2 linked regions of the Xenopus tropicalis genome follow. The protein of the gene in region 2 purifies or fractionates together with the protein of the main gene of each other region. This does not show direct contact. Links are inferred from orthologs where the notes say so. Each region holds a gene or a part of one and is shown on either strand. Other genes may lie near its edges.

Region 1 (9,811 bases), on a different chromosome or scaffold from region 2:
ATATTGCCCCCCATCTGTGCCAGCAACAGCCAATCCCTCATATTGCCCCCCATCTGTGCCAGCAGCAGCCAATCCCTCATATTGCCCCCCATCTGTACCTGTGCTAGCAGCAGCCAATCCCTCATATTGCCCAATTGCCCCCAATCTGTATATATGATAGCAGGCAGCCAATCCAAATTGTGTCTGTAACTGTGCCAGCAGCAGCCAATCCCTCATATTGCCCCCCATCAAAAAAAATTCTTTCCACTTTACCGTGCGCCCCTCAGTGATTGCGCCCTAGGCAGGCGCCTACTCTGCCTACCCCTAGTTCCGGCCCTGCCAGTGAGAATGCTGCACTATGCACTAAGCACTATGTCAGGCATCTTGCTGTTATCTTACAATTACAATAATTTTAACCTTCATTATATGACACTGGGATCAGACACAGGGATAAAGGACAGACTTGTTCAGTGCTATGAAACTGTGCTTAATGCTTCCAACTTCAACTGCAGGAAGAAAGAAAAAGGAGACAGATTTACACAGATCTGCTGGGATTCTCATTGGAGGATTTTTTACATTTTAAAGCAAAAGATTTGAGGAAAGGTTAAGAAATTTTTTTTTGTGTGCAATATTGCTTTAAGAATACAACCCTGGTGTTGCTAGACTACAGCTCCCAGCATATCTCACCCTTCATTATATGGTACATTATTCAGGGATTTGTAGTCCAGCAACAACTTTGGTTGAGCATTGCAGTGCAGCAGGGTTTACATAAAAGACCTGAATTGGAAGCTGAAAACAACACGCAAAGGCTAAATCCCATTCCCCTGCAGCTTTCTCCTCCATCTTTGCACTATGCCATGATTTACATATTTTATACTCTAACACAGTGCTGTCCAACTTGTTTCATGTAGTGGGCCAACTATATCTCATACAGCATGTTAGAGGGCCAGATTCACTTAAAATGATGATATCATATATTGAAGTCTATGGAGCCCTAGAGCAGACTGAGGGCCATAAAAATCATTTGGAGGGCCACCTCTGGTCTGCGGGCCTTCAGTTGGACAGCACTGCTTTAACAGTATATGTACAAGAGCATACATTATCAAAAAAGTGTAAGTTATAAAATTGCCACACCACTATACCACTTACATGGTGCTCCTAACTATTTACTTCCAGACATATTTTTTTAATAGGTGGCACGTCCCTGCATGGTTGCATTTCTTGGATGTGTCTCCTGGCCTGGGCATTAGTATCACAGGCTTACCTGTCCCATCTGTAGCTTTGTATGTTTTTAGTAAATAAGGCTAAATGCATTTGCCCACATATGCAGTAATAAATATTCCAGTCAGCTATATTCAAAGAAAAGTATCTTGTAATTGGCACTCAGTGATAAATGCTTTCTTGTGGGAAACCAAACTATGCGGTTAGTAATTTGTTAAAAAATACCCAGTGTTATGTTTCTTGCCTCAGGGCTTGTCCCGCTGTGGAATTGTTAAGAAATGAATCTGATCACGAGCAGCGCAGGTAAAAATCATAACATTACCTAATTTTCATCAAGCACAATAACAATGACCATTCTGTATATTTCGTTTTGTGTCCCTGTCCCTGCTATAGACAGAGCTACAAGGGTTATGATAACAATGCGTGGGTTTTGTGTGCACTTATTATTTTAATGTAAACTCTGCACATTATTTCCTGATTTTGATTAGTTTGTATATTTCAGAGAGCGCAGACACCTGAAGCCACAAGAATTTGATCTGGACATTCTGCAGTTTGTTTGCATATTAAAAAGTATGGTTTCCACTACATATTGCTTATTTTTGAACAGAGTAACATACTAGTAATTGCATTTATGTACAATTTATGTACACTTATCCCTTACCCTAGCAGGCACAAGGCTTAAAGGGGTTGCAAACCCAGTCATAACGCTGCCCCACTGTGTCCCCTAGTTTTGTTATAGAAGTTGCCAAAAAACATAATGAAATATTCACCAATGAGAATTATACTGATAAAGAATTTCTTATAGATGCAAAAGAACTGACCACTTTTATTATATGATACCTGTACTAGAATCAGACATGGAGATAAAGGACAGATTTGTTCAATGCTGTGAAATGCTTAAAGATTCCAACTCTAATTACGGGAACAAAGTACAGAGAGCCAGATTTACACAGATCAGCTGGGATTCTCATTGGAGGATTTTTTCATTTTAAAGCAGTTTCTCACTGTGGAGATTTGGGGATGAGTTCAGGAAACATTTTATTGTGCAATATTGCTTTTTAACCCTGCACTACAGCTCCCGGAATGCTTCTTGCTTCATAATATGTTACATTATTCTGGTATTTGTAGTCCAGTAACAACTGAGAAAAGTTTGGTTAAGCAGTGCAGCAGGGTTTACATACCGTTTAAGGGAAACCTAGCAAAAAACAAAAATGTAATGCTTTTCAGCTTTATCTCACTGAAATAATAAACTTTCCATATACAGGTATGGGATCCCTTATCCAGAAAGTTCCAAATTACAGAAAGGCCATCTCCCATAGACTCCATTATAAGCAAATAATTCTAATTTTTTAAAATGATTTCCTTTTTCTCTGTCATAATAATTTAGAACCTTGTACTTGATCTCAACTAAGATATAATTAACCCTTATTGGAGGCAAAACAAGCCAATTGGGTTCATTGAATACTTAAATGATTTTTAACAGACTTAAGTTATGGAGATCCAAATTTCAGAAAGATCCCTTATCCAGAAAACCCCAGGTCCCAACATTCTGGATAACAGGTCCCATACCTGTATTATCATTTAAACATATTGTAGCATTTCTGAAACGTGATCTTTACTGCCCCGCCCCAAGTAATCCATCACTTCACATGCAAGGTAAATGGTGAACAGAGTTATTGCACATCAGAGCTAACAGTCCATCGAAAATAATATGAAAAAGTTACTTCTACTTGTGGGGGACAGGGAACAGAAACTCGATTATTTCAGAAATGGTTTAGAATTTTGTATTGATTATGTTTGAAATATTTCTTTTTCCCATGAGTTGAAACTTAAATAGTTCTGCTTTAACATGTAACATACAAAATAAAAAAGCTGCAGCAATGCAAACCAATAATAAATGAACCCCCTGTGGTCCTCCAAGTCATGGGAAAAAAGTAATGGATATTTTGTCTCTAACTGAATTAGAAGGCTATCAAAATACAGCTGCAGGTTGACCACTGTTAGCTTTAATACTGAATAACACCCAAGGAAGGGGGGTAACATGGCAAATCAAGAAAGAGTGTTAAAAAAGAAGAGGAACGTGCAAGAGAAGAAATATAGTTCATCAGTTATTGCCAAACCTAGTGGGTAAAACAAACATGGAATTTAAAGTGCTGGTTTCCCTTCTTTTTGTGACTCTTTCCAACCTTCAAAATGATCTCAACGGCTAAAATGTTATTGTTATTGTTAGTTTGTATTCCTTATCTTACTATTAAAGCCCTCCTCTATTCATATTTCTGTCTCTCATTCAAACCACTTCCTGGTTGCTAAGGTAATTGGGACCCTAGCAACCTAAGAGCTGCTGAAATTCTAACTGGAGAGATACTGAACAAAAAGCAAAAAAATTGAAAAACTAAAAAAATTCAAATTGTCAAATTGTCTAAGAATTTTACTCCCTGCACCATACTAAAAGTTAACTCAAAGGTGAATTTAAATTCACAAAACAAAATGTACTATACAGATGTACAGTAATTGCAAAGACAGAAAATGGAGGTAGGTGTCCAGAAGGGTAAAGGGACTGCAAAAATGTGAATCCACTTAAAAATACAATGTTAATTATAAACTGCAATTTCCCAGAGGCACTCTGTACACACATTTTCTATTTAGATTTAGATCCTCTTTAAAAATTGACATTGAAAAGATACCACCAGGCCTCCCTTGCATTGTGGCACTGTCAGTTAAGGGCTCTGGCACACGGGGAGATTAGTCGCCCGCGAACAGGGAGTTTTGCCGCGGGCGACTAATCTCCCCGTGTGCCAGAGCCCTTAAACCCTGAGGAGGACTACACAAAATTAAGAAGGCTGAACTCAGCACATGTATAGACACATGTACTTTGTTAACAGCATTGCAGTGTGCACAATTTTGCATGCATTTTAGTGATTGGTACTTGCACTTTTACACTAGATGTTGTTAGAGATCATCAGATGCAACAGAGCATATTTACTAGTTGGAGAACCAGCTGCTACATCTTTCTGTTTTGTAACAACCCACAGAACTCCAGTCAATATCCGGGTGATAAAAATTCTTCACAGTTATGATACCCAGTTGATCATGACTGCATTCATTAAACAATGCTTATTAAAAGAGAATGTGTTTTAATTTCAAGTTTAATGTGTAAATAAGTACAATTGAAAGCAATGTACCACAAATAGCATCTAACTATAAAAAAACATGCTATACCATGGTAGAAATATAACAAATAATACAAATAATAATGTCAAAAGAATGAAAATAGAATAAAAGAAATAAATATTCATTCAAATAAGGAACTGCATTCCCTGAAAGTACATTTTTAACCCATTTAAATCATGTTTACAAACAAATCAGATTCTAAAAAGTTTGTACAGTGCCAGTGGATAAGCCAAACTGACAAAATGAAATCATTCACCTATTAGGTGTTGGTTTCCACCTTGTACTACAGCCTGGTTGTGTATGTCACATACATTTAAGGGCAGATTTATTATGCGGTGTAAAGAACGGTGCCAAATAAACAGGTTTCACCGTATAACAAAACAGTGTAATGTTTTTTTTCTTTCAGTGACTTCCACTGCAACTTACACAAGGTCGGAAGTGGCGTAAGATATGGTGTCAAATCTGGTGTTCCGACAATGTAAAAAGACACCTTTATAAATTCGCTATTTATTTCACATGGCTTTTTACACCATTTCTTTGGTTAATTTCACTTTTCACAGCATAATTAAAGGGCCCCTCATTTTAGTTGCATCATCTGTAAAGAGCAATTTTAGCATCTCTTCAGTGACAGCACTTCTGTTGTTTTAACCTTATCAGAGCTTAAAAGGTCAATAGACTTTGGAAACTGTTGTAACTGAGCCCAGTTAATCTATTAAGAGGCTGTGCATATATAGACGTAACATTTAGATACCCTGTGGTTTGTGGATTAACTGAACACATGCCCTTTATCTCTACTGGTTTTCGTCATTGCCCAGTTCTGCCTGCTCTTTCATTTCCGCCTCTGGGTCTCCAGGAAGAATGCTTCTTGTTGTCTGAATTAGCTGCTCAATTTGTTCCTCTGTTAGCCTTTCTTCGCTCTCCTCCACCATCTGTTTTGTAATAAGAGTTTTGATAAAGTGAATTTACAGCAAAATGAGTAAAAAAAAATAATACAGCTCTACCACAACATTACTTATCATGCTCAGCAAAACCTACTACTTCCTATCCAATGATGTTGCAAACTGCAAAGAAAGCTTATTATTAAGTACCATTCTGCAGGCTTGATACCTTCAAAATAGTGTTTGAGGTTTGCCATATTCTAAATAATTTCAAAGCACTATACAATATCAGTACTAAATAACATGTCCATTGCTGCTCTGTGGACAGTTACAGCTAAAAGTGTAGCGTTGCAAACTTCAGCTATCTCCACTGTGCTAAATTCACACCCTTCCAATCTTCCTATGGCAGTATTTCTTTACCTTTTTTTGTTACCTTCCTCTAGCATGAGGGGACAATTGAACAAATGTCAAGCATTTGAATAGCTTCTGTTATAAAAAGGCTTCTATTGCACGCAACCATTAAGGACGAGTTTGCTACCCATTTGCTAAATGAATGTATCTGAGGGTTTAAGGCAGGGGTCAGGAACCTTTTTGGCTGAGAGAGCCATAAACACCACATATTTTAAAATGTAATTCCGTGAGAGCCATACAATATGTTTGGCCGCGGATGCTGCGGGGCAAGGTAGGGTAGGTCCCGAGGATGCGGATGCGATGCAGAAGAGGGCGTAGCCTGCGCTTGGCGGATAGAAGACGTGTTCAAAGGCTTAGAACACGTCTTCTATCCGCCGAGCGCAGGGGCAGGGTAGGGTGGGTGCCAAGGATGCCGGATGCGATGCTGAGGAGGGCGTGGTCTGCGCTTGGCGGATATAAGACGTGTTAAGGCTTAGAACAGGTCTTCTATCCGGCGAGCGCAGGCCACACCCCCGTTATTTTTTAATTAAAGATTTGGCAGTGAGCCAGATGCAGCCATCAAAAGAGCCACATCTGGCTCCCGAGCCATAGGTTCCCTACCCCTGGTTTAAGGGCTATGCCACATGGGTCTGATTCTCAGCAAGTGGAAAAACACTTGGCAAGAATCAGCCCCTCCACTCTTAAAATCCTTAAGTTGTGCATGCACCCAGAAGCATTGAATCTGCCTGAGTGTAGGCGCACCCATATTATTTCTGCTGAAACTGCATATTCGAGCAGTTTCGCCCAGAAGTACACTGTGTGTGCCTGTACCTGAGCAAATTTGGTGCTTCCAGGTGAAGGTACAACTTAATGATTTTAAGAGTGGAGAGGGCTGATTCTCAGCAAGCATTATTTTGCCCTATAATATAATAAGCCCTGTGAGCATAGACCTAAGGCTGATGTCACACATAGGGGCACATTTACTTATCCACAAACGCTCCAAGCATTTGTTCGATCAGTCCAATCGTATTTTCCGTGACTTTTTCATATTTTTAGCGTGAAAAAATCAGAACGGTTTTGCCGCTGTTTATAATCGTTCGGTACGAACATTTCGTGACATTCGGATCGCTAATACAATATTATTGTGACTAATACGATTTTTTCTTAAGCATTTTTGTGACATTTGCGATCTTCAGAAATTTTCGTTTCCAATCCGAATTTTTCCCATTCGGGATTCGAACTTGTGTTTTGATAAATCTGCCCCATAGTGTATGGCGTATATTTTTGGCAAGCAGAAAAACGCTTGCCGAAAATATTGCCATACGCTCCTACCTGTGCCTGCACCTGAATGAATGAGATACACTCGGGTGCAGACACATGTAGCCGGTATCCGCCAAAAAACGAAAGACTTCGTATCTTCGGCGGATATCGGCTACATGTGCCTGCACCTGAGCGTATCTCATTCATTGTGGTGCAGGCACAGGTAGGAGCGTATGGAAATACATTTTTCCGTGTGGCATCAGCCTTAGGCTGATGCCACACGTGGCGTTTTTCCGCTGCGTTTTTTCTCAGCCTAAAAACACTGCGCAACCCACACAGCCCCTGACTATGGCGTTTTTCACCCTAGTACTGGTGACGTAAGCAAATCCCGTTTCCATGGTGCTAATAGTGTGAAATAGCAAAAAACGCTGTGTATTTCCGCTAGGTCTGGCAGCTGCCTTTGCGTATGCATAGGAATAGCTTGCTTTGCAAATACTGGCGTATTTCGGCCAACGCTTGAAAAATCCGTGCCAAGGTGTTTTCTAGCGTATTTTGGCATTGTGTGGTTTGCTTCGCGTCTTTTCAAGTTATTTCTATGGATGATGATATCAGGCGTTTTTCAGTCGCCGAGAGAATTAGAAAATACGCAGCGGAAAAACGCCACGTGTGGCATCAGCCTTAGGCACTATTAGCACCATGGAAACGGGATTTGCTTACGTCACCAGTACTAGGCTGAAAAACGCCATAGTCAGGGGCTGTGTGGGTTGTGCTGCGTTTTTAGGCTGAGAAAAAACGCAGCGGAAAAACGCCACGTGTGGCATCAGCCTTAGTAAGCGATTGTTTAAGTAAAATAAATGTGACACAGCTGAACAACTTTTTTTTATTATTATTATTAGATAATTACAAGAAACATTGAGAAAATAAGCAAAATCCCAACAAGGATTAATAATGACATAATATAAACAATACAGTTCAGTGAACATTTCAGAACAGTATTTTACAAATGACAAGGTATGAAAAGATAATGAAGGAATAACATAGATCGCTATTAAGCATGTGTCTAAGAATAAAATTAAATATAGTAATTCTTATTACAATTAGACAGGCTAGTAAGAGTTTGTAAGCATTCATGGAACTATGGTACATAGAGTAATGAGTCCAAATGAGATCTATCCTTGGGACAAAGGGTATTTATATGAAGTTTCCATTTAGACAAGTATCTTGTATGGTTTTTTGTGTTACTAAATTTGAAGGCAATGGCTTCATTTTTACATAAAACTTGTAACTCAGTAATGACCTCTGATAAAAAATGGTGGGTTTGAATCTATCCATTTCTTGAAGAGAATCCTTTTTGCTGCAGCTAGTATAAGGTTCAAGTAGTTTATGGAGTAGGAAATGTTTCCTAATTTAGGTTGAAATGAATGAGACACTTGCATTAAATCTTCTGAGAAGTTTAATAGGGCGCATTTTGAAGTCAGATGGTAATTAGAACCCAAAGTAGATTTTAGATGGCTCTCAAGTTCTTTCCAAAAACTACTGATATGAGGGCATTCCCATAATAGATTAATTATATTTGGAAGCGGTATGCTACATTTAGGACATTTATTAAGGAAATTCTTATTCTTAGAGTCAAAATTAAAACCTTTATATGCTAGATGAATAAGACTATAATTTTGTTCCCTCCAGACTTCCGTATGAATGAGTTTTTCAAAACGCTTTATACAATAGGTTAAGACTTCCGGTGAAATTTCTGTATGAAGATAGGTGGACAATTTTTTTGCAGTCAAATCCAATGGATGACATTTGAGACTTATTCCATATTAAAGTTTGTATAGATCGGATTCTGTTACAGGATTGAGAAGCCATAAGCATATCCAGAGCAGTAGTAAGAAGTGGATTATACATTGATAAAGAATCTAGATGGATATGGTGATGAAACCAATGAGCAATTTGGAGATAATGTAATTTTTCTTTTTCATAAATTTGATATTTATTGATGAAGTCTTTCCAATCAAGAATTGTATTAAACGATGGTGAAATAATATCTTTTATATGCTGCATTCCTTTTTGTTTCCATATGGTAGAAATAGGAGGATACCATGAGCTGGATAGTGTAGAAATCTTCACTAGAGGTAGGTATGGAGTCGAGATATAACTGGATTTGTATGACTTATGCATAAGTTTCCAAACTGCAAACGCAACTCTAAATAATTGCTGCCAATATCTGAGTAGTTGGGGCTGAATATAATAAATGAATTAAGTCAATGAAATGACCTTGAAAACCAAAAGCTTCTAGCGCGTCAAATATGTAGTCCCAGCAAATATTGTCAAAAGCTTTCTCTGCATCTATACCCACCAATGAGATTGGAATTTTATTAGTTTTAGCTGAGTAGATGACTTTAATTAAGGTTCTTAAGTTTTTAGTTCCCGATCTCCCCTTCACGAATCCACTTTGTTCTGGGGAGATGATCTTTGGGAGTTGATTTGAGCAATGGGTCTGTACGAGGATGTAATGGTTGGATGAATTGAGACTGGAGGGTAAAAATTGCTTTTGATTAATGATGAAATTATATAATTCTCTAAGAAAAGGTGAAATTTCATTAAGTAAACACTTATAGAAAGGTCCAGATAGACCATCTGATCCTCCAGCTTTGTATTTCTTCAGTGATGATATCGTAAATCTTACTTCTTCTTCAGTAATTGGAGAGTTTAAGTTATCCAGATCTGTTTGAGATATTTTGGGAAAAGTTATGAATTGTTGAATTAGTAGAGGAGTATAAGATCTCGTAATATTTCCTGAAAGTCTCGGCAATCTCCAATGGGTTATGAGTGAATTTATCATCAGTTGACCTGATAGCGCTAATTTTATGAGCCTTTGACCAATTTTTTGTCATATTGGCTAGGAGTTTATT
Region 2 (10,715 bases):
TTTAAGGTCTCCCTCCTTGGGTCATACAATTCACGGTGCACACAAACGAGCCAAGGCACACATACATGCTAGGCCCCATCAGCCAATGAATGGACAGAGTTCTGCCTTTTGCTTCAACACTACTTCCTGTTACAGTCAGAGCTGCATTACTTCCTGTCAGCTGATCTCTGAGGGAGCACACAGCCCATCACTAAATGGCGGCTCAAGGGAAAGGATGTAAAAGGACAATATTTACTGATATATACATATTACTTTTGGCAAGACTCTAAAATATGTCACTTAACATAATATAAACTATCTGTTGGTTCAGTATTCATTCTGGGTATAAAGGATATATTACTCCATGTTGGCCTGCCTTCTTGGGGAGTCTGGAAAATGTCCTACTTAACTAAAGTTTTTGCTTGTGGCAGTTCCATTCCTCCTGAACAAAAGCCTGGAATTTGGACTTGAGCAGGGAGGCTAACCAACTGAACTGCAGTCCGATGGAAGAGCCCTTTGGGCCTCTTTGTGGCGTGGACCACCGGCAGTAATAAGGTCATCAACATTTATAGAATTATAAGACAACACAATGGGGGGGCTGTGGCAATGCTGAAATGAAGAAAGGTATGTTTCTTGGCAACGGAATGGTGGTTTTATTCAAATCCCGTAGTTCCTCCTTCAGCACAAAAAGTCAACAATAAAGGGCTCAGAACTTTATCCAGTCCCCAAGCCCACTAGAGCAGCGTTTTTCAACCACTGTAGTGTGCCGCGAGATGTTGCCTGGTGTGCCGTAGGCAGGGCACCAATGTACTAGGGGGGCACTGCTCTTGGCACCAATGTACTAGGGGGGCACTGCTGCTGGGCACCAATGTACTAGGGGGCACTGCTCTTGGCACCAATGTACTAGGGGGGCACTGCTGCTGGGCACCAATGTACTAGGGGGGCACAGCTGCTGGGCACCAATGTACTAGGGGGGCACTGCTCTTGGCACCAATGTACTAGGGGGGCACTGCTGCTGGGCACAGAGTTAAATTTTTTAACATTTTCTAATGGTGGTGTGCCTCGTGATTTTTTTCATGAAACAAGTGTGCCTTTGTCCAAAAAAGGTTGAAAAACACTGCACTAGAGACACAAAGTGGACAAACCAGTTTACCCCAGGGGGTCTGGCAAAATCCCTCCCTTTCCCGGATGAAAGTTTTAATTGTCTGGAAAGTGGGAGTAGTTGTGGTTCTTCACAGCCTCTGGGGTTTACCCAGGCTGAGGGCAGGACAACCCTCTTTGGCTCCTCCTTGGACCTGTAGGGAGACTCTCTCCAACTGCTGATTGGATCCCCTACCCCAAGGAGGGCTGTGTACTGCTGGAAGTCTGCAAGGATATTCTCAGGTACTGTTAATTTGTGGGTTGGTTTAAAGAGATTCTGTCAACATTTTTACTTCTAAATTACACTGTTTACATAGCAAATAATTCCCTCTGCCATTTCTTGAACCAACAAATGTATTTTTAGCTTTAATATTGGTGTGTAGGCGCCATCTCAGTGCATTGTGCCTGAGTCTGAGCTTTCAGCCAGCGCTACACATTAGAACTGCTTTCAGCTAACCTATTGTTTCTCCTACTCCCATGTAACTGGAGGAGTCCCAAGCCGGACTTGGATTTCTTACTATTGAGTGCTATTCTGATACCTACTAGGGGGCTGCTATCTTGCTCCCTTCCCATTATTCTGCTGATCGGCTGCTGGGAGGGGGGGGATATCACTCCAACTTGCAGCGCAGCAGTAAAGTGTGACTGAAGTTTATCAGAGCACAGGTCACATGGCTGAAGGCACCTGGGAAAAGAAGAATATGGCTAGCCCCATGTGAAATTTCAAAATAAAATTTCATTTTATGAAAAAAAAAATTTTCAAGTATTCCTTTAAGGTGAACGCTGCCCCGCAGATTGTACCAAGAGAACAGTGTGCTTCTAACCTGTGCCAAGTCTTTAATATGAACTCTGCACTGCTGATCTGTGACCTGCTCAAGCAGGGCTCTGTACAGTTAATTTAGGGACACCACTGGGGGCGCTGTACCACTGGACTATTTGACAGAAGTGGGCTGTACACCTTATTGATTGCAACTGGTTCTTGCTTTTTTTTGTCCCCCCCTAGCCATTCTACCCTGTTTGAACCCCTAAAACAGTGATCCCCAACCAGTGGCTCAGGGGTAACATGTTGCTCCCCAACCCCTTGGATGTTGCTCTCAGTGCCCCCAAACCAGGTAGTTATTTTTGAATTCCTGACTTGGGGGCAAGTTTTGGTTGAATAAAAACAAGATTTACTACCAAATAAAGCCCCTGTAAGCTGATAGGGTGCATAGAGGCTGCCTAATAGCCAATCACAGCCCTTATTTGGCTCCTCCATTAACTTTTATGTTTGTGTTGCTCTCCAAGTCTTTTAACATTTGACTGTGGCTCAAACCTCAAAGAAAGGTTGGGGATCCCTGCCATAAAATAAAGTGTGGAGTGTCGCTGATCTGTGTCAGTTTCCAACATGTAAGATTAGAGGGGGTGATAGAGGCCTCCCTCACAGAGAACATCATAGTGCCGCAGTTAAAAAAAGAGCCTAAAAAACCTATTTTTGGGTCATTTTTACTAATCGTCTTCACCTAAAATAGCCCTTTTTGTCCATGAACTGTGAAAAACCTGCCCCTGGGAGGCTCCCACACCATTAGCCCTTTTAGTGCCATAGGACGTAGATTCTACGTCCTGGGTAGCAAAGGACCAAAGTGCCACAGGACGTAGAATCTACGTCCTACAGCACTATCAGGTTTACAAGCGCTGCGCTGGCTTTTAAAGCAGCGCAGCGCTTGTAAACCCTTCACAACCCCCTAGGCAACGAGCAAAGACAGTCATACTCACCGATCCGGTCCCCCGATCGCGTCGCCAGCCAATGACAGCAGTGGACACGCGATGATGACGTGTCCACTGCTGTCCCTTTAAATAGCGCCGCCTACTGTCGGCTCCTCATTCCTGCTGCGCACTTCGGACCTGATGGAGCTCCCCTGCTGCCTTCCTGCCAGATTGGTCGCCCCTGATCGCCTGCCTGCCTTGGGTAAGCTGAACTACAACTCTCTACCACTGTTTATTTTGCTTATTTCTATCTCAACTGTCTAAAATTTTTTTTTTTTTTCAATTTTTTCTTCTATCTTTGTCATTATTACACTTTTGCACACATACACACTTATTTACAACTTTCCCAAGCACACACAGACACTTACACACACACTTACACTTTTTTTTTTTTTTCTATCTTTCTTTTCTCTTCTTTCTTTCTTTGCTTTCTTTGGCAGTCTTTTTTTTTTTACTAAAACTTTATTTCTGATCTTGCTCTATAATTATCTGATTTATTTGGTTGCATTTTAGTGTTTTTTTGGCATTTTCATAATTGATTTGTTTTTTTATTATTGTATTGTATTGTAACTTTTTTTATTGCTATTGGGTGCTGAATTTGCAGTGACGTTGGTGGATCCAGGGCTCTGACCACCAATTTCATTGCAATTATTGTTCTTCTGTTGGTTTAGGTGGTTTTATTGGATTTTACTGATTTTATGGTGTTTTATCTTTGCATTGTTCTTTATTGTGTGTTTAGTGCCCCAAAAAGGTTGCTTTTGCAGTGACATTGGTGGATCCAGGGCTCTGACCACCGATTTCATCAGGGCTTTTACAAACGACAAAAAAAATTGTGCAAAATTAACTTTTCTATGGAAAAAAACCTCAAAATATACAGAAATTTTTCATAATTTTTTTTTTTTTTTTACATATTTCACCCAAAATACACATCATATCTCCAGAAAAGTTATAAAATTTGGTATGTATGTCGAAGCCCAATTAGTGACGAAAAAAACGATATATAATTTCCCTAGTTTCATGGAGGTTTTCCTACCAAAAAACATTGTTAAAGTGAATGAGTACAAAATGCTTAAAAAACGTCTGGCACTGGGGGGAACCGAAATGACGAATTCGGCTGGCACTTAAAGGGTTAAAATAACCCAAAAACTAAAGCTTATTGTTAATATGTATTTCACCTATTATCTTCTCGTATATCAGACCATAATCTACTCCTACATTGTAAAATATATTGCTCTTAGGCTTAACATAAAACAACAAAAAGGAGCAGCTTGTTTTGGGGTAACAGGAACAGCCGCTTTATTGAAACCATTTGTGGGAAAACCCTGTCAGCACCTAGAACGTTCTACTCCAGAATCAACACCTTGAAGTTAGAACAAATTAACTGTAAATTGTTACTTTTGGGTAATTTCACCCATTGTCTACTTAAAGTGCCCCTGGCTTCCTTCCAAATTGTAAAAAAATATGGCTCATTTGCACTGAAACTCTTCTTTTAAGCCAAATTAATAGAAAAGTATGAATAAAATTCCTTTAAAAAAAAAAAAAAAAAAAAGCCCTTTTTATGTCAAATGTAGGAAAAGATTGACTATTGGACTAGTGCCTTTACCCCTCAAGTAAAAAAGTGACCAAGCCATTAATAGCAGTTAGCATAGGCTTAGTCTTGGCCAAACACTATGACCTAAAGCCCTGGGCAAGTAGGAAAGACTAGTAATCCCAACAGAAAGAATATTTTTTCCCTCGACAAAATAGCCTCATAACTAACACTTGTGAGTAGCCTCCTGTTATCCCAACCCCACTACTGCGCATTACTAACAGCTTGCACTTCTGCACAACTATCACACACATTCACACTGCTCGCCATTCTCGCAATGCCGCTATACGATGCCTCACCCCCTTATATAATGTTAAAGTGACGTCATAATCTCGCGAGATGAGACTTGCGACTTCCGAGAGCTAAAATACAAATGTCAAGGACGCAGCAGAATTTTAAAACCTTGATACGGGAATGCGGCCCGTGTTATAAAAATCGCGACTGCTGGCCGGTATGTTTGCATTTTCTTGCGCAATAAAGGTTTTCGCAGCGCCTTGTCACTATGGCAACTGCCAGTTCCCAATGACTTGTTCCGCCGTGCTTCACCCCGCCCCCAATCTCCTCAGTCATTGGCTGGTGGTACCACACGGCGGTAGCCTTGTGGGCGTGGCTATTGTGTACGTCATCACTATGCGCTATAAAAGTTGCATTCTGCGGGTGGGGAAGCGTGCAGTAAGACGAAAAATACCTATAATATCAATGTTATAAACATTTGTGTAGAAAATGATGATTTCGGCTTTGTTGCTGTAGCGCTACAACGAAGTAGTGTTCCCTCTAGTCTCTTTTCAAATTATATTTTGTCTGCACATTTGGCAAATTCTGTAGGCACAGAAGGAGAAGGGTTGCAATAAGAAAAAAAAAATCTTTGTGTATCGCACTTTGTTGCGTGCAATGGCATTTTTACCAGTCAGGTGGCAACCCTCATTGGGGCCCATGGCTTAGAGGGAACTCTATTTTATTTATAATTGCTGATTTGGCACAGATCAACCTGTAGAGCTGCTTTATTTCCTGTCAGCTGATCTCTGAGGGAGCACACAGCCCATCACTAAATGGCGGCTCAAGGGAAAGGATGTAAAAGGGAAATATGTACTGATATATATATTCCAGTTTGGGGAGATTCTTTAATAGGTCACTTAATATAATATAATCTGTCTATTGGTTAATTTTTCATTCTGGGGGTAAACTTACTTCCATGACTCCCATGTCAGGACTGGAGTTCCCACTAGACTTTAGATTGTTTACTATGTTTATGGCCTGTTCATTATTAAGCCATGTGTGGCCACAACACAGCATACATGCAGCACACACTGTGCAGAACATACAACTGCATTAAAGGAGAAGGAAAGGCTAATAAAGAGTTAATCTCAAGCTGCAGGCATACCGTCGGTTCTCTCAATAGTGCCCTTAAGTCTCCCTATATTTCTCCCGTTCAGATGATCAGAAGCCTCATAGGAAAAAAAAAAACTGAGATTTGTAATGCCTCGCTCCTGCACCAAGACCAGTGTACATGCTCAGTTAGTAAGACTATGAGGAAGCTTCCTGCTGATTGGCGCAGATCCTCATTCCTAAAGCTGGCCATACACGGGTGGCGATATCAGGGAGGCATGTAGGTGAATTCGATCATTTGGCCCTGGGGCCAAACGATCGAATTCTGCACGCGGCAATGGGGCAGTCGGTTCGGGGACTGCATCAACGAGCCGATGCGGTCCCCGATCCGACGGGATTTTCTAACCTGGCCGATCGTTATCTGGCCAATTTCAGGCCAGATATCGGTCGGCCATTCCGCTCGTTTCTGCCCCTACACGGGCCGATAAGCTGCCGAGTCGGTCCAAGGGACCGATATCGGCAGCTTCTATCGGCCGTGTATGGGGACCTTAAGGGGGAGGGAAGTGAGTTCTTAGCATTCTTGAGGGAGGAGGGAGCAGGAGAGAGCTGCGTGTCTGTAGCAGAGGAAAACAGACAAGAAATCCTGTGTTTCTTTTGATAGAGGACTCAGTGCAGCGTTTCTGTGAGTGCTTATGGCTGTATTTACATAGACCTTTCTGATATTAGTTTTTTACCTTTCCTTTTCCTTTAAAGGCCTTACTTAAAATTCAAGACTTAAAAATGAGGGCATGTACCCACATATTTTCCTACCCCTGGTTTATATGCTGCGTGCTGCTGTCATGTATATGGGGTAAACATCAAATGGCAACTGCTGTAACCAAGTTTTTTTATTCAGAGATGGGGGTAGGAATAGTATTTTCACTAATTAGCAACTTACACGAAGTCCTTTTATGTTTTTAGGCTCTTTGAGACCCGAAATTAAACATGTCGAAAGCACCAAACAGCTGACATGGGAAGAGGACAAGGATTCCCCACCTGGTAATGCAGTGCTGACCATGTAGGAAAGTGGCAGCTCTGAGGCACTTTTTTGTAAAGGTAATTGCACGCATATACACTGTTAGCTCATTATGCTGATACGGTGCTCTCCTATTCTGGAAGCATTGCTGTCTAATCTTTTAGATACAGACAGATGGTGCTTAAACATTGCATGGAGCACCTTTGTACAACATTCACAATTCTAACAGTTCACATTAAAAGAACAAGCTTTGCCATATACATAGTTAACAAATAATATGCAGGTGAAGTTATATTCACCTCAGAATCATCCTTCTGCTGATTCTTAACTTCTGCACAGACCCTGTGCTTTGGGAGGGGGTCAGTGACCCCTATAAACCCTACAGTCTTTTTTACTTTATTATATGATGTCATGGATAGTGCTTGCAGTGTACTTAACTCCTATTGGCTGTGTCTCCTGTCAGTCTGACACTGCTTCCTGTGCCTGTGATAGAGTGCTGCAAATCTATCATAACAGTATGTTATATTTATGATTTGCTAAGTCTATTTGCCTATGCCATTTAAAGTGATAAATTAACCAACTTTTCAATTTATGCAACTGGTTAGAGTTCAAAAGCAACCAGTTAATTGGTCCAAAAGTAAAGGCAAAGCCTGGACGTGATGATTTACGCATATAGGAAAGGGATCCCCAAGCTTTTTTTACTCATGAGCCACAGTCAAATGTAAAAAGACTTGAGGAGCAACACAAGCACCATAACAGTTCATGGAGGAGCCAAATAAGGGTTGTGATTGGCTATTAGGCAGCCTCTATGCACACTATCAGCTTACAGGGGCTTTATTTGGTAGTAAATTCTGTTTTATTCAACCAAAACTTGCCCCCAAGTCAGGAATTCAAAAATAACTCCCTGGTTTGGGGGCACTGGGAGCAACATCCAAGGGGTTTGGTGAGAAATATGTTGGCCCCGAGCCACTGGTTGGGGATCACTGATATAGGAAAGTTCTCAGTGTGTCAGGTTCTAAATAGGCCACTCCCATCCCTTCAGAAAACTGATCAGAGAGACAGAATGAGGACTGATTTAAAGGTATAAAAAGTAGCTTTTTCAGTGGCCTTTGTACTTTTTTTATGTAAAATGCTGCAAGCATTGTTGGTGGTTTACTAAAAATTAGACATTGAAGGCAAACAACCCCTTTAAAGGGAACGTTAGCCCAAGTGATACCTTATATTACCAAAAGTATCTGGACACCTACCTGTCCATTATTTAATGAATTTAAACAAAACAAAAAAAGAAGTGGTCCTGCTGCTCCAGGTCCTTAGCTCAGGGAAGCCGACAGGCTATCATAACAAAGTAAAAATAGATGATGAGCACTAAAAGTTAAACCCAGTGTTGGATGACCACAAGTATCTGGACATCTACCTGTCCACTGTCTCTGTTAATTAAAACAAAACAAAACAGAAGGGCACCAAAGCACAAATCTATGTAGAAGACATACCAATTCAAGAAAGCAGTCTGGGTGCTACTGACCTTTAGCTCAGGGAAGCAGAAAGACCATAACAAAGCAAAAATAGGTGATGGGTAATCCAATTTATCCACAAAGGGCACAAAATAGTAGTCAAAATCTCTGTTTATAACATTATCTCTACAACCTTACACATATTGTGCCCAAAAACACACTTAATCATAGTTCCACATTATTTTAATGAAACCAAAAGTATAGTCCATCTTACCTGAAGAAACACAGGTATTTGGCCAGTTGCAGCCAAGAAAAGCAGATGTGGCAATGGGTCGCTGCCTTGCTGGGTTCCTTTTCCTTACTTGCCACCTCCCCTTGCTCCTGGATGAGTTTACTTCTGAGTTTATGACGACCACATTTTTGGTCTGATGATAAAGCTTCCAGTTTTATAGTGAGAAGTGGGTCCAAGTGGGTAGAAATACAAGTCTGTGGGTTTGGTGGAATAGCCCTTTGAGATCTTTAGCCAAGGGTATTAATATGAATATGTTATCTGTTATACCAACCCATATTCTTCTGGGAAGCCTTTTTACTGGATGGTGGAACATTGTTGGATTGCTATACACTACATGAAGGAAGTCATGAGATATATACAAAAACAAAATATACAACAACATATACAAAATGTCAGGTGATGTTGATATCTCTTATACCCAGGCTAGGTTATTCTACTGTTTCTTGGGCATAGCACAAGATGGCTGGAAAAGGCAGAGGTAGCGGTCGGGGCCAACTGACCTTTAATGTAGAAGCTGTTGGAATTACCAGAGGGGAAGCACTGCCGCCACCCACTCTCCAACCTCCCCCGTTGTTCCCGGTAAGTTAAGCTCTATACAGCTTTGGTATTAAAGGAAAAGTAACACTAAAAATTTTTAAGTAAAAAAATCTATTCTACCCTGCTCCAATAATTGCCCTATCCTGCACACCGTTTATTATTTTGAATGCTTTATTAGAAAATACCTGCTAAAACCTGGCTTCCGGTCATTTGAAATAAGGCGATGCAGAAGCAGAATTGATCGATCACAGCCTGACTCCTTTGATCGATCCTTGCCTGACTCCTTCCTATACAGAAGGAAGGCTAGGATTGATCGTCGCGTAGTGGATTCTGCTTCTACATCGCCGTATCGCCTTATTTCAAATGACCGGAAGCCGGGTTTTAGCAGAAATTTTCTAATAAAGCATTCAAAATAATAAATGGTGTGCAGGATAGGGCAATTATTGGAGCAGGGTAGAATAGATTTTTTACTTACTTTCCTTTAAAGTGTACATGCTATGTATAGAAATGTACCAAAATAGGCATGAGTGGGGAACATATTGTAACTAAACCACAACTCCCCATATTTTTGACTGCTGATATGTGTTATTGGAGTCAGCAGACTGAATTTCAGCAAGAAGCAGTGAACTACAGGCTCCTGATCCATATCTTAGCATTTTAGTATCTGTTTTCCCTGTCTGCCCATTGTGCACTGCCTTCTATTGCTTTCTGACTTTTTGCCTGTTGGGTGGCAGGATCAGGGTCTGCATTTTTCATTACAGTGCCCAGTTGCCCACCCCTGTGCCTGCCATCCACCTGTTTGCTACTATGGGCCCTTTACAAGTGAGATACATGTGGCCTTCCCTAAGGTATAATGGCCTTTTAGTTATACTGTTATGTTTATAGAATATACATAGGCTTATTTTTCATTTGTCATGGGTTTAAATGCTACTTACCTGGATAGTATTAGGTCTTTATTCATTTTTTTGTACTAATAGGTTTTATTATTTTTTCCTTACTTTCCTAACTTTTTTCACTTGAAAGAAAACCCAGCCATGCTGTGTGTCAGTAGTGCATTGCATACTCATGCTGGAATCAGACTGGACTTTACCTGTCAGTGACTGACAGTAGGGTGTGTTGTTTACAGCTGGGAAACATGTTAGGTTGCGGAACTCAAAAGAAATTCATGCAGCAACTCTATGTACAACAGTTTTGTTAAACATTCCCTGCAGTTTCTTTTTAAAGGACAAGGAATGGTTAAATTACTGGGGGGGGGGGGGCACTCCCTTCAGTGATTATAATGACTTACCTGATACTCTGGGCCGGTGGTCCATTTAGTATAAAACTGCTCTGCCCTGGGGTACTCTGAGCAAGCACCACAGAACAATCCTCTTCTTTCACTTCTTCATTCCTCAATCACCCAGGGTGCATGTGTGCATGTGTGTGAAAAAGCAAACTTGGCTTTTCACTTTACTGAAGTGAAGAAGAAACAAGATGTAGATAATGCAGTGGTGCTAGGTCTGAAGTACCCCAGGCTGCTGCAGTTTTCTGCTAACAGGAGCACCAGCGTGGGGTATCAGGTAAGTAATTATAATTACTGGGGGGTGCCTAACATTTGGCACCCCCTCTGTGATTTCATCTTTTCTTCTCCATTAAGAGCTATACACT

What was found.
Region 1: the proteins of polr3gl (region 2) and crcp purify together in Homo sapiens (co-immunoprecipitation; 3 studies listed by BioGRID and IntAct, counting the BioPlex papers as one, with this or other methods). This does not show direct contact. The link is inferred for Xenopus tropicalis from reciprocal best matches to the Homo sapiens genes POLR3GL and CRCP.

The regions. Positions count from the first base shown.
Region 1 is NC_030678.2:97,799,462-97,809,272, forward strand, and holds the end of crcp (DNA-directed RNA polymerase III subunit RPC9), read right to left. Parts: intron 9,624-9,811; coding exon of another isoform or gene 9,614-9,623; exon of another isoform or gene 7,768-9,613; intron 5,301-7,767; coding exon 5,163-5,300; 3' UTR 4,329-5,162; downstream 1-4,328. UniProt on the Homo sapiens protein: DNA-dependent RNA polymerase catalyzes the transcription of DNA into RNA using the four ribonucleoside triphosphates as substrates.
Region 2 is NC_030684.2:128,424,627-128,435,341, forward strand, and holds the start of polr3gl (DNA-directed RNA polymerase III subunit RPC7-like), read left to right. Parts: upstream 1-5,090; 5' UTR 5,091-5,119; intron 5,120-6,733; 5' UTR 6,734-6,868; intron 6,869-8,953; 5' UTR 8,954-8,990; coding exon 8,991-9,110; intron 9,111-10,715. UniProt on the Homo sapiens protein: DNA-dependent RNA polymerase catalyzes the transcription of DNA into RNA using the four ribonucleoside triphosphates as substrates. Specific peripheric component of RNA polymerase III which synthesizes small RNAs, such as 5S rRNA and tRNAs.